Linked DNA regions of Mytilus edulis. The protein of the gene in region 1 interacts with the protein of each later gene in a pairwise test. Links are inferred from orthologs where the notes say so. Each region holds a gene or a part of one and is shown on either strand. Other genes may lie near its edges.

Evidence for each region.
Region 2: the proteins of proteasome maturation protein-like (region 1) and proteasome subunit beta type-6-like interact in binary tests that used the Homo sapiens proteins (3 or more experiments, as listed by UniProt). The link is inferred for Mytilus edulis from reciprocal best matches to the Homo sapiens genes POMP and PSMB6.

The regions. Positions count from the first base shown.
Region 1 is NC_092351.1:6,550,796-6,558,589, forward strand, and holds the start of proteasome maturation protein-like, read left to right. Parts: upstream 1-4,793; 5' UTR 4,794-4,808; coding exon 4,809-4,823; exon of another isoform or gene 4,824-5,024; coding exon of another isoform or gene 5,025-5,036; intron 5,037-7,794. Other genes in the region: vascular endothelial growth factor receptor 1-like, read right to left, coding at 4,392-4,467. UniProt on the Homo sapiens protein: Molecular chaperone essential for the assembly of standard proteasomes and immunoproteasomes. Degraded after completion of proteasome maturation. Mediates the association of 20S preproteasome with the endoplasmic reticulum.
Region 2 is NC_092356.1:29,851,220-29,858,488, forward strand, and holds the start of proteasome subunit beta type-6-like, read right to left. Parts: upstream 3,014-7,269; 5' UTR 2,969-3,013; coding exon 2,882-2,968; intron 324-2,881; coding exon 256-323; intron 1-255. UniProt on the Homo sapiens protein: Component of the 20S core proteasome complex involved in the proteolytic degradation of most intracellular proteins. This complex plays numerous essential roles within the cell by associating with different regulatory particles.

The DNA.
Region 1 (7,794 bases):
ATCAGCCAATTGTCAGATACCCTTGTACAATGTTGTACAATCAGCCAATTGTCAGATATATATAATTTTATTTGCCTCCTATTGGAGAGTATGAAACAAAGCAAAGACAATTACAATTAATCATATACAAACAACACGAGTTATGATTTACACAGAGACAGTCAATAAAGACGAGATCACAACGAAAAGTTCAATTATTTACATAGAACAGGCTATTATTTAAACTTGGAATTATTTTTAATTATGGAATTTGTTAAATTTTCTGTGCTGGAAATTTTTAATAAATTCCATGTTTATTTGGTATAATTTTGTTTTGAGCAGTTCATAACACTTTCCATATAATGTATTTTGTATAGATAGTGTTGTGCGCGGCACAGTACATTCTATTGAAAATGTACTATCTTCTTTGTAAATGAAAGTGTTGTGCGCAGCACAGACCATTGAAGTACAGAATAAGCAAGGAATTTACTAGAAATTTCAAGCACAAGAAATTATAAAATTTCCATAATTAATAATAATTCCAAGTTTAAATAATAGCCTGTTATATGTTCATTACAGTTTGAAGATAGTTTATGTACTTCTAGCAGCAGTTGCGGTTCTGTAACAATTTACAAGAATTGTAGATAAAGTTCATACACGTGAAGTTAAACTGTTCACGTTCTTTATTCTGTAGATCAAAATCGGTGTCACAGGCAAGAATACAATTAAGCAATTTATTGTCAGTCATATTTCCTAAGTGAACACTAAATGAAATCGGGTTTATGTCTATAACACTCCTCCAAAATTGATCTCGAGCATCAACTGTATAGTCACATGATAGTATCGCATGAGTACAAGGATCATCAAAAAGTTTACCACATTTATCGCACAGTATTCTGTTGTTTTGTAAGTTCTCGCGTATAAGACAGCACGTTGATGTTACAAAATGGGCCTGTCTGCGCATCAGTGGGTGACGCAGTGCTACTCTCCACGCCGCATGCGGTACACAAAACGAGTGAATGTCTTTGAAAACAACAAAATCAGGATCCACTGCCATACGATGATGCCACTTTACTACCTCAACCTGGTAAATTGACGTCTTGACTACCGATTTCCAAATTGCCGAACTTGGGAATTGTCCATCATTGAGAAACTGATCTAGATATTTCGATAAACCATATTTTGTGAGTATTTTAATAATGTCACAAGCGAAACCTGATCTTGTGTCATATTGATTATATCTAGCATCAATGAGTCTACGGAGAAGAATACGGAATGAGACAGCTGAGTATGGAAGGCGACATGTTCTTCCAAAAAACAACAGTTTTCGTTCACATATAAAACTTTCAATTGAAAGCCATCCTAATAATGACACACACATGTCGCTTCTTGTTCTTCTTGGTAAACCTTGTATAAATTTACAAATATAGTGGTGAGTTCTTTCAAGCATCAGTATTTCAGTGCAGGTAAGTTTTCCCCTGAGTTCACAACCGTATAGTGCTTTCGGATAGCAGAGCTGACGTATAATCTTTGCACATTAATTGGATTTACAATGGCTGGGTGTATTCCAAGGCGTATAACTGATGTCGTTGTCAAGCGCAAGGTGCGACAAGCTTTAAGAGTTCTGTCCATTGTTTTTAAAGATGTATCTAGTTGAATACCAATATGTCGAGCAGAAGTTACATAGTACATCAGCCAATTGTCAGATACCCTTGTCCAATGTTGTACAATCAGCCAATTGTCAGATACCCTTGTCCAATGTTGTACAATCAGCCAATTGTCAGATACCCTTGTCCAATGTTGTACAATCAGCCAATTGTCAGATACCTGTACAATGTTGTACAATCAGCCAATTGTCAGATACCCTTGTACAATCATACAGAATAGATTGGTGTTAAGCATGTCTGTCAGAAAAGTCATGTACATGTACAGAAACTAGCAAAAACAGACCATGTTCTTAATTTGACTGTTGGTAACTCACACATTAGAGATGTTAATTGCGAAAAGCTCCTTGGGGTTTTTATTGATGAAAATCTTGAGTGGACAGCCCAAATTGACACTTTGTGCACAAAAATCAGTACCAGACTAAATCTTTTGTCTAGGATAAAGAAATCCCTCCCCCTAGAAACACGAAAGTTATACTTTAATGGTTATATTCTCCCTATTTTGGATTACTGTTGTACAATTTGAGGAAACACCAGTGACCAAAATACAAATAGATTAGATAAACTTCAAAAATGAGCAGCTAGAATTATTCTTGAACTTCCTTATGATACCCCATCAAATACAATGTTTAAAAAGTTATCATGGCTTCGATTTACTGATCGTGTAATTTACCACAAGGCCTTATATGTTCATAGATGTTTATATGGATCTGTCCCAGAATATTTGTCTAACAAAATCTCCTATGTTACAAATAAAAATGGAATGCAACTTAGATCAAATACTACCCAATTACTTAATATACCAAAGGCAAGAACAAACACATATATAGAAGATCTTTTTCATATTCTGGCCCAACTTTATGGAATAAACTACCAGAAGCACTAAGACATATGTCAAACATAAATACTTTTAAAACAAACTGGTTTAAGTTTTTACTTGAAAATCCAGGAATTATTTAAATGACTATGTATCAATTTTGATTTATGTTTTCTTATGTTTATCTTTGTTATGAAGAAATTGTGTGAATTGCATTGTGAGTGGAGTGTGAGGGCCTCAAGGGAGAATAGTGTTTGTACTAATTGAGCATACCCTCTTGAAATAAAGATTATTATTATTATTATCATGTACTTTGTATGTGGTTGTAATGTAAAGTTCAATAGGTTTTATAATTCTCTGTGGTTCTACGTGGTCTCATGATCAGTATTAGGCAAAAGATGTGTATGTACATGTATCTATATACATGTATATATACATGTATGTAAAAAAAATAAATCATGTGATATATACATTGTTCATGTATAGGTAAATATACACTTGGAGAAGACATTTCTTACTTGAAAAAATTGTGTCTAATTGGTTTGTCCTTATACATGTATATATTGAACAATAAAATATGTAAACTATAATTGTTTTACATGGTTAAATTTCACTTTTAAACTGGACATTTAAAAAGATACTCTTTGTGAAATACATGTACATGTACACAAATGTATGTATATTTCTCAGGTTTACGATGATTTTGGTTAGACCTACTGTGGCTAAAGGCACACAATGTAGTGTAAACTTGTATATATATATCATGTATATTACAGATACAAAAATAAGAGAGATATGGGGTATTTATCAGTGTTTATGGAATTGATTAAAGTTACAACTTTGACAAAATTAACTAGACTAGGATTCAACTAACTATCAGAGACATATAATACAATGTCTCCCCAACTATATAGCAGACACGTGCTAATACTGTACATGTATGTACAAAAGTGTATGTCAAGCTCTTACAATGAGTGTACATGTACATGTATGTCTAGACAAATTGTGAATGAAATTACGAAATTAAAGACTTAAGACCTACAATCAATATAACAGTTTCTATGGGCAAAAGTCACTTGGATACATTGGGGTATGTACAATGTATGTGTCTTATTCTAATAATAGTAATCTCTATAAACCAGCCTTGCATAGGAAAACTATCCTCTTGTTAGCCTGCAGCCAGAGGGAACACATTTTATTTCATGACTTGTAAAATAAAAACACATTTATACATGTATGTCTGCTACATTTTTTTTGTTTGTGTACATTTATTTTATTCTAAACATGACTTCAGAAAGAAATTTTGAAAAAGGATGCTGGCATTCAATGAAAAGCATGCACTTTAAATAGTGACTTACATTTATATTAAAGGCTAAGTGTTTCCATTTAGCTTTGTCTTTAGATATATAAAATGTATGCATGTAAAATGTAGATACATGTATAAGAAGATGTGGTATGAGTGCCAATTATACAACTCTGCATCATCATGATCATTGTCCATTTAAGTCACAATTTATATTTAAAGTACTGTAAACCATTGAAGGTCAAAGTTCAGTCTTCAACATGGAGCCTTGGCTCACACCATACAGCAAGCTACAAAAAAAAATGTATAAAGGGCCCCAAAAATGACCAGTATAAATTAACCATTCAAACAGGATAACTGCCAGTCTAATCTATAAAAAAAAACAAGAAACAATTTAATGTCAAGTTGCACAATATATATGAACCACAACAACAAAAGACAACCACTGAACATCAGTTTTCTGACTTAGGGACAGTTGCAAACACATGCAGTATGTTTAAACGTTTTAATAGGTACATGTACATTTGTACCAACCTTCACCCTTACCTGAAACAATATTGTAACATCACAACATAAAAAGACATACATTGCACATGCACTTGGTGAAATAACTTATTGTTAAACTTACGATTCTGAAAGGTATCTACTGATATTATCCAAAAAATCACGAAACAGCATACATGTTTTGAATGTGTATAATCCATTTTCAGGTAAAAAAAATGTTCAGGTGCTTTAAACTTTTTCTGAAGCAGTTAAGAGCTAATTTCCATATCCATGAACATATAATCAAAAGATAATGTACAATTTATATTTAAATACACACTTATTCCATATCTAAAAACGTAAAAATCAGACTTAGTGTGATTTATGTGTCATTTTCACTTTCTATTTATCAACGTTTTTCTCATCAAGCATATCAAAGGAGTTCCTTTTGGCTAATCCAATTATCTCCCCAAAATCAGAAAAAAACTCAGTTGATAATTATTCCCACAAACTATTACAGAAAGCGTAAAAATATTCAACTGAATCTACCAAAACCGCTTTGATGTGTAGTTTAAGGGTATGTAGTTTAAGGGTAGTATTAACAATGTTTGAAGAAAAATACAAATTTAAAAGCTCGCAGGAGGTAAAAGTATCAGCCTCTGAGTAAAGGGGTTCCCCGTTCCCGGAGTCTTCGGACTTTTTCATGTTTGAGTACGATAAATCTCGTAACTGGGGAAAGCCCACTTAATGCGCAAGATAGGAAGTTTAATTTACCAACATGGCGAACTTGGTAAGAAACCTGACTTGCAATTTTGATTGAAATGATTTCAAAGCGGCTTGCGCTTATAAATGCTGTTTTAATTAATGAGTATAGTCAATTTTATTGTTTCCTGACTCTGAAAACAACACAAATTATTTTCACTTGCACCCAAGTAGTTGTTTCCCGTGTTAAATGCGAATAAAATTATTTTGATGACCCTTTCTTTTGAAGCTTCAAGTCTTTTGAGACGTTTCGGCCACACAACCAGTTCGACCACATGTAGTTTCTTTCACAGGACTAGTTCGACCACAGTTGTAAAGGCAAAAGTCGGTGTGCCAACATTTGATCTATTTATCTATCTACATGTATCTTCATATTTCCACACTCAGTGGATTGTTATCCTATGTACATGATGTATATTAAAGTTAAGAAGATGAAACTAAAGGCTAAAGCAAACTTTATTGCATATAATTTATTTGTTTCAGTCTGCAGACTACACGTGGTACCTCGAATGACCGAAAAACACTGTTAATTTCAAAATACTTGTAATGACAGAATAACACTTTTTAATATTAGCACATATTGGTGACTTTTAAATATTGATTATTAAATAAAAGTATATTATCGATGTATTTTATGACTTATAAATGATTTACAGCTGAAAGCAGATAAGTTCATTAAAAACTTTTAAAATTATGACGACCACGGACATCACAATGGACACCATGTTCTCTGTACACATTAAATTTAAAATGATCTTTATGAACTTATCTGCTTTCTGAAAAACATTTTTGTGTTATAAGATACATCGATAATATACTATTATTTAATAATCAATGTTTAAAAGTCACCAATATGAACTAATATTAAAATTTCAAGTGTTATTCGGTCATTACAAGTGTTATTCGGATAATAACAGTGCTATTCGGTGATTCGTGTTACCTGACTACAAGTATAGCACATTATATATCTTTTAATTGGAACTTCACAATAGTGTGTCTTCCATTAATTATTCAGAGACTAGACAGAAACTCATACATGAGATATACTTTAACACGGGATCGTTACATATTGATTTGGCCAGCTTCCATTGTCAGACATGCAGAAACTGGACATGAGTTATTTGAATGTTCATACAAATGAAATTTATTTTTCAATGTCAAAACTTACCAAGACTAGGAAGACTGGTTCACAACTATAACATTTAGTTCATTCCCTGAGAATCTTAAAGTTGTTCAATGTATCTTAAGACTACATTTGTACATTGATAAAACAGTGAGCCTTCCTTCTAATGATTGTTATCAACTGCCCATTAGTTTTATTAAACCTCACAAACCTGTCATATCATGCACAATTCAATTGCCTATTGGTTAAAACGTATACAAGAATCTGCAGGCGTAGATACTGATATTTTCAAACAACATTCAACTCGGGTGCCAGTTCACTAAAACAAACAAGTTTGGAACCTAGACTTTGTTTTTGCTTAAATTAAAATTATAGAAATCCTTGATATAAGTAAATATTTGTACTCACATTTAACATACAATATTGTTATACCACTGCCAAAAAAATATGCAATCATATATTGGTATCACGTCGTTGTCGTCAGCGTTGTCTTTGTCTGAAGACATTTGGTTTCAGGACAATAACTTGAGTATAAGTAAATAGAAATCCATGAAATTTAAACACAAGGTTTATAACCACAAAAGGAAGGTTGGGATGGATTAACAGTTGATGAATTAGGGGCCTAAATACATTTTAGCATTTTTAGCTCACCTGGCCTAAAAGGCCATGTGAGCTTTTCTCATCACTTGGCGTCCGTCGTCGTCGTCGTCGTCGTCGTCGTCGTTAACAATTTTTCAAACATCTTCTCCTCTGAAACTACTGAATGGATTTGAATGAAACTTAAGATGATTGTTCCTTAGTATATCCTGCACAAAATGTGCGCTTCGATTTTTGATCCGTCAAAAAACATGGCCGCCGTTACTTAAAATAGAACATAGGGGTCAAATGCAGTTTTTGGCTTATATCTCAAAAACGAAAGCATTTAGAGCAAATCTGACAAGGGGTAAAAATGTTCATTAGGTCAAGATCTATCAGCCCTGAAATTTTCAGATGAATCAAACAAACCATTGTTGGGTTGCTGCCACTTAATTGGTAATTTTAAGGAAATTTTGCAGTTTTTGGTCATTATCTTGAATATTATTATAGATAAAGATAAACTGTAAACAGCAAAAAAGATCAGCAAAGTAAGATCTACAAATAAGTTAATTTGACCAAAATTGTCAATTGACCCCTTAAGGGGTTATTGTCCTTTAATGACAATTTTTCACAATTTGTTCATCATATTTGCTAACTTTAAAAAATCTTCTCCTCTGAAACTACTGAATGGATTTGGTTAAAACTTAGCATGATTGTTCCTTAGATTATCCTGCACAAAGTGTGTGCTTTGATTTTTGATCCGTCAAAAAACATGGCCGCCGTTACTTAAAATAGAACAGGAGTCAAATGCAGTTTTTGGCTTATATCTCAAAAACGAAAGCATTTAGAGCAAATCTGACAAGGGGTAAAAATGTTCATTAGGTCAAGATCTATCAGCCCTGAAATTTTCAGATGAATCAAACAAACCATTGTTGGGTTGCTGCCACTTAATTGGTAATTTTAAGGAAATTTTGCAGTTTTTGGTCATTTTCTTGAATATTATTATAGATAAAGATAAACTGTAAACAGCAAAAAAGATCAGCAAAGTAAGATCTACAAATAAGTTAATTTGACCAAAATTGTCAAT
Region 2 (7,269 bases), on another chromosome or scaffold:
ATGAAGGATTTCAAGAAATTGTATATAGTATCAACTTTCGGACCTTACAAAAGTCAATCCTAAATTACTTACTGGAAGTTGACTATAAAATATATTTAGAATGCTTATCAAATCTACTTCAAATATACTGATGCATTAAACATGTTAAATGCATATATGATTGATTATCATGTATATATTAGTTATTGGCAGTTTGTATTCCACACCGTCAGTAACCATGATAACATACATGAATGTATTTGTGTTTACACTTACCCAGTGGTAGTTCTTGAATCTGCGCCAATTACTACACCTCCATCAAATTCAACGGCCATAATTGTTGTCTGGAATTATAACATGCATCTTTTATAATTATATCGTCAAAATTAGCTTAAGAAACAATTGGACATAACAAGGAAACAAACCCCCAAAGATGACTTGTAACACAGAGGTCTCGGGTTCAAGTCCCAGTGGACAAATTGTGGAGACTTAAGATGATTTTGTAAGAATCATGCTCTCTAGTAACATTGGTGCCTAACACTGAAAAACCCACAGTTGGAAGAATTACCAAGTCGGCCCAGGGAATTATATATATAAAAAAGAAGATATCATTATAGAGTATAATGACTTGAAGTGGTAAAAGGATTGTTTCCCTGAATGCCTGAGTAAATGTGGTAGATACCAAGTCAGCCATAAATTCTTCTTTTGCTCAGTAGGTTTATGCGCTGCCTGGTAACACGGCATAGATGTCTGAGGTTCGAGTCCTACATGTCCTAGTTGAAACAAAGATGATTTTGTAAAAAGAAACAAATATCTACTCAAAAAGTCAAATTTTGAAAGTTCACACACCCAAAATGAGAATGTTTCCTCATATTCTGACATAGATCTCAATGTCAAACGTTAACTTTACGAGTTTTATGTAGATGAAACGCCTATCTGGCGTACTAAATTATAATCCTGACCAATACCTTTGATAACTATTTATCAATGATAAAACCTTATAACTCCTTATGTTATTATATGAATGTGAAATAAATTGATTTTAAACACAAAAGTTATTTATAAGTCAAAATATAAATATTCATCTCTGTACTCTCTGCTCCTTCTAGGGATAATGTTTCAAGATAGTGTTATTTTGTTGGACAGTCTGTTCCTCAATTTTGTCTTTATCCTCTTTAGGGTTGAAAACCCCCTCTCACAATAACTTTTGGTTATACCCCCTTTAACATTTGTAAGCCATGAAAACTCAGTCAGCCACTTGTCATTGAAACCAGAAACGGTGCTTGCTGTTATCACTTGCTAAAACTTTAGCTAGGTTGGGATTAGGAGAAGCAATGACATCTGCTTATACTGACAGCGAAGAGGAAGGTGTATTCCCCTTTTCATTAGAAGTCATTAGGCTGAGAGAAAAAAAACTTCTACTTCCATCATCTGCCTTTTGCTTAGAAGTCACCCTTTTGTTATTTGCAGAAAACATGTTCATTCAGAATTAATAAAATCGAATATGGTTAAGATATTTGATCATATTTGGTATACAACTTTTTAAAAAAGAACAGCTGACAAGTTTCCGTAGTTTTACATTACGCTTCCGTGTGTATTATTGTTAAAACCTATCTCTGGCAGGTAGATATAAACGAAACTTTGCAAGTTTTTTTTAAAGTTAAGACCATTGAAATTATCAACTAGTGACATTATATAGAAGCTGCAGCAATTCCGTACCCGTGTTGATTGTCACATATTTCCCGACGAACGGAATTTTACGATCGATGTTCAATGATCATTTTATTTCTAAAAACACGACAGTTTGAGACAATATACCTTGCAAGTAACATTTTTTCACTTTATAGTAAAATGAATCACTTCTCTTTATCTTTAATCAAAGTTTATTTTATTTTTTTCAATTACAAATACTCTCATTCATAATTTTTCATCATAGCAATGTGTATTCAAATTTATCACGTGTATTCATCACGTTCATTGGTCGTGTTAAAATAGATTCTTCTTCTCGACCAATGAAAAAATTCGTTATTTAAATGGTCAAGTGATCACACACACAATGCGTAAATACAATGTACATTTTATGTATTTGCGATCTATTTCTTCAATTTCTGCACTGAAGTTTTTATTTTTTTAAATTTTCTTCTACAAATATCTATCTTCTTGATGATCATGTACGCTATTACATGATAACATAGTCCGATAAGGCTGAGATAAGCGTGCCTCAGGTAAAACTAATTATCAGTTATTGCGTAACACTGACCGACCTCACAGCGGTGATCAGCAACTACACAATTTTAACCAACATTTATAATGAAATTGTGAAAATTAACACGCTGCGGGATCAAGTATTAAGGGACAGCGGACAATTAAGACGCTGCGGCATCTTCGAAAATATTATGAAGGCGTTGCATTGCCGCAGCGTCATATCGGCCTGGGGAGAACACTGTCTTCTTTGTTTCTGCAGTGGGTTGCTGTCTTTACATACTGAGGTTTCAGAATCAAATCCTGCTGATGGCTGTTACTTTAGTTTAATAATAAAGTAATGCAAAATTGAGATTGAGGAAAGCTGTTTTTCTGATTGTATTGTGTTGGTAGGCAGCAAAAAAATAAGTTATAAAATCATAAATCCTAAAAATTAAAATTTAGATAATTTATTTCACATCAATGAATAATCGGATGTACTTTAGACAATACAATGAGATACATGCTGCTTCGTAAAGTGAAGGACTACAAGAAAAATGTTATATGGGGAGAATACAAAGCATTAGTAAACTAAGAGTACAAGAAACGATTTTTTGAGAAACTCATCGACGGAACTGAGGCTTGTAACTTTTCGTATCATTGTGGACATACTTTATAAGCTTCATATAAACAAGTTAACAAGGTAACAAGTATCATTTACCCCTGTTTCATGTTCTGCATTCAGCCAGTCTGGAATAGAAGGCGAATACATTCCTGCCGGTGAAAAGTTGCTAGTCATCGTTGCCATTTTCACAAATTTTAAAGGGAAATAACTCTGGTTAAAAGAAACAGTTAAAGACCGTTTATAATATTGTGAAACCTAGTACAACAATGTACTATTAAATTGTAAAAAACTTGAAAAATACTTTGTTTTGCAGGATATTTTTTGTAAATGGTAGTGCAAATTAAGTGGGTGGGGATGAATTTTGGAAAAAAAACAATGAAATTGTCTCAATTTTGTTTTTGTGTTAAAAAAAAAAAAAAAAAAAAAATTAAATGGTTGTCTCCCTTGACACAATATGTGAAAAATACTTTAAAAAGAACTTGCACTACATCAAAGTTCTATTGTAAGATATTTTTCTTTTTAACTTTTACACATCGAATAATTATCTGCACCAAAGATAATAATCTACCCAATAAATATTGTTAACATTGTGATTATAAGTGACTCTTCTTAAATTGCAAATATAAGTAGATTGTTTTTCACCTATTATAGTAATTATAAGTAGGATTGTTTTTCACCTATTATAGTAATTTATATAAGGCAAATATAAGTAGATTGTTTTTCACCTATTATAGTAATTATAAGTAGGATTGTTTTTCACCTATTATAGTAATTTATATAAGGCAAATATAAGTAGGATTGTTTTTCACCTATTATAGTAATTTATATAAGGCATTTTTCAAAATTATGCTGAATTTACTGGGGTATCTTTGTTTCAAATTTTTATCCTGTTCAATACAATATACGTACAGTTAAAATACCACATAACATTTCATTCATATAAGATAATAACTATCACCAGAAGTATAAATTAAAATGTTCATCCCTTTTTTTTCTGTTCACAAATTTTCAAAATATTTTATATAAATCTTAAGAAAGTCAAATTTAGCTAAGTATTAGTTTTGTGCGGACTGCAAGTTATTATTATTTAAAAGAAAATATATTTTAAATCTTATAATTAAGACTTGATGTGTGATTCTGGTGAAGGAATATATTGTCGACATACTTGTATTGTGTACAGACTGTATTATATTTCTATTGGTGATTGGATTTATATTGGATTTATTACATTGTACTGAAGGTGTACATATATTGGCAGAATATATGAAGATACAGAATACAGAATAGAAACACTAAATAAAAAAATATGCGTACAGTTGTTTTGAAACACCTAAGACTTAAAAAATATTTACTGCAATGAAATGTAGGGTTTGTATTCCTACAAGACTTCCTAATTCAAGGGATATATATATATTTCGGCCCTTTTTTTTATATGAAACAGGATGTGATGTACTATGATTTGGTGGTATGACACCTGTAGCTACATCAATTATTGCCAACCCCAAATTAAACTTTAAATCACCCAAGTTAGAAAAGTTAATTGAAAGAAAGATAGGTAACAACTAATTTGAATGTGATTGTTTATATTCAATAGAACTCTTTAATGAACTAATTAATAACTCTACGTGTTTTGACGCTGTTGGTTCAAAAATTCTTGAAATATTAGTGCTCCATTGATTTAGGAATCTAGTGTGCATATTTTTTTTATTAATCTAAGCCTTTGCAGTTATTTTTCCATCAACCTTTATAATTATATGCAAGCTAGAGTACCCTTATCCATGAAAGTGGCGATGTTACGAGATGAACAACTGTAGACCAGCATCTTTACTTTCAATGTTATCAAGAATTGATAGAATTTGATTTGATTTATAGGTAAGTCTTGGTTTAAAAATTATAGCCTTCCTTGTGAGTCATCTCTAGACCGTGATAACATGCTATGCATGCTTAATTGTATTCACAATGAGCTGATAGATATCAACAAGAGAACTTACTTCAAAGGTGGCCACAGTAGAGGTCATGATGATTGAACACACAAGTTTTAACAACAGAGGATCACCAGTGAAGTCTAAAGGAACTCTTTCTTTCCAAGAACAATCATGAAATGGAACATATTACATGCCAAGGACTTAGGTTGTTGAAAATTATAAGTTGAAGATTTTCACTCATGGCAACAGACAACACATTAATACCAGACTCAACGATTGTACATAATTTTAATCGTATCAATCTGATTTGATCGAATACTGTATATAGCCTTAGTGGAATAGATTTGTAATGTCACCATGTGTAGTCCTGCAAAGTTGAAACGTTTCATTTAGGAACCCAAATCTTATATGAATAGTTTAAGAACTGTTAATTAACCTAGATCAAGGAAATTACACAATATAGAGAAGTCTTTTTTTTATATTTTTTTTTTTATATTGTTTCATTACTCAATAGTATTATCAAAATTAGAGATGTACAAGGCTGATATACTTTCTTTTAAATCATATCTATCCAACAGGTCTCAATTTGCTCTTGCATAAGTAATTTATAAAGTTCAATTTGAATTACTTGATCTGCCTCTTGAAGATAAAAAACACCAGGAAACAAATGTTGTTTCATTATGTCATCTGTTAATTTGGCCAACAGCATTGCTCATTTAGCTTATAAAACAATAAAAAAGATTTAACATAATACTATGCGCCTATGTTGGTTCCCTCCGTTAAATATTCAGTATGCTGATTGCCTTCCTATTATCAAGATTTTTAATAACAGCCGGGTACCAGTCGACTGTGTGCCCTTCTGCTTATTATCACATTTGAGTTCATTGAACCATGAAATCAGGGTTAAACCCTAATTTGGGATATGATTTACAAAGGTAACATCAAAATAAACATGTGCCCTAATTTTCATGTTAATGTAACCACAACTTATATAAGTAAACCACCTAAAACCAAAACTCTGAACTTAGAACAATAAGATTTTAGACAATCACATTTCCATGTTCATTATTAACTGCTAACCCTGGCTCTACACCAGATAGCATATATTTTAAAAGTTTACATCATAAATAAACATATACACCAAGTGTCATACTGATTTCAACTTCACATTACACTACAACTTAACCCAAAACTTTTAACTTGATAAGGAAACAACAAATTGACACAGGTTGAAAAATGATATGTAGGCAGGGCATAACAAGATTTTAAACAAGTAATATAGTTTTGAATTTGGCTGATTTTACTAATTGGTGGATATTTCTCATCAAAAATAAGGTTGAAGAAAGGAATTCAGCTATTTTGCATTGAAAGATGCTGTGTGTCTGACCTATAACTTTGTACTAAAAAAAATGTTACTGATGAAAACTAAACATTTATATTGCAACAGTATTTCAGCAAAAAAATCCAAAATATAATAAAGGAGATGTGGGGTAAATTAAAAGACACCTAGATGTCAACATACAGTCGGTCTTTAACAATAGACAATTGTCTATACAACATGTCACATCTCTCTAAATATACAATATAAGGTCAATGTCAGAAAAATATAAACTTTTCTATATGAAGCTGAGAAACTGAGGAAGGGAGAGGTTGTACCAAGCAATTTTCCAGTTTTGTGCCAAAAATCACAAAAAAATTAAACTGACTATATAAACAGTTTGCCATCACCACCCAAATACAGCTAGATTGAATTAGCTAATACTAGGACAGAAAAATCTTGTACATTCCTCATCAAACTTAACCTATAGCAAAAAAAATTCACGCAAACCAAGTGCTATAAGTACTGTAAATTCAGAAATTATAGCAATGGTTTTATTATTGTGAAAAATGCAAAAGGGTTATTATAGCCATAATTTAAACTAGAAATTTGCTACATGAATTAAACAGGATATTTCTCAATATTGCAAAAAATAAAATCACATTTTAAACTAAAAATGACAAAATCGCAATAATATATGCACACAATAATTTCTGTACTAAGTATTTACAATACTGTAATGAACTTGCAGTAAGATAAATGTTACTTTTGAGAGGAAGAAAAACATTTATAGCACTTTCCCTTTTCTTTAAATTTTATCAGTTCTTTTTTTGTCTTGAGTTAAGACAACATATCCATTTTTCATTTCACTGACAGAGGTAACTTTTTCTGCTGAGAGGAGATAACAAACACTGTTTTTGTTTTTTTAAGTATTTGTTGTCTTCCTCTTTTGAGTTATGACATAGTTATTTATTCTAGAGATAACTTGTCTTTCTTCTTCACTTTACAGGTCTGTATGTTGTCAGATAGAAACTGCTATTTGAATTATTCCTACATTATTTTCTGCCGATCTACCCAACAAATTCTTTATGACGTCAGTGGTTGAAGAAATATTGCACAGAGATTTTTATACACGCTATGACAATAGTTATTAGGTTTGTTTGACATTTTTGTAATTTGTTTATGTTTTGCTGTAACATTATTTTGACATTTTAACCTTTGATGTCTGTTTGTTTTGTTCA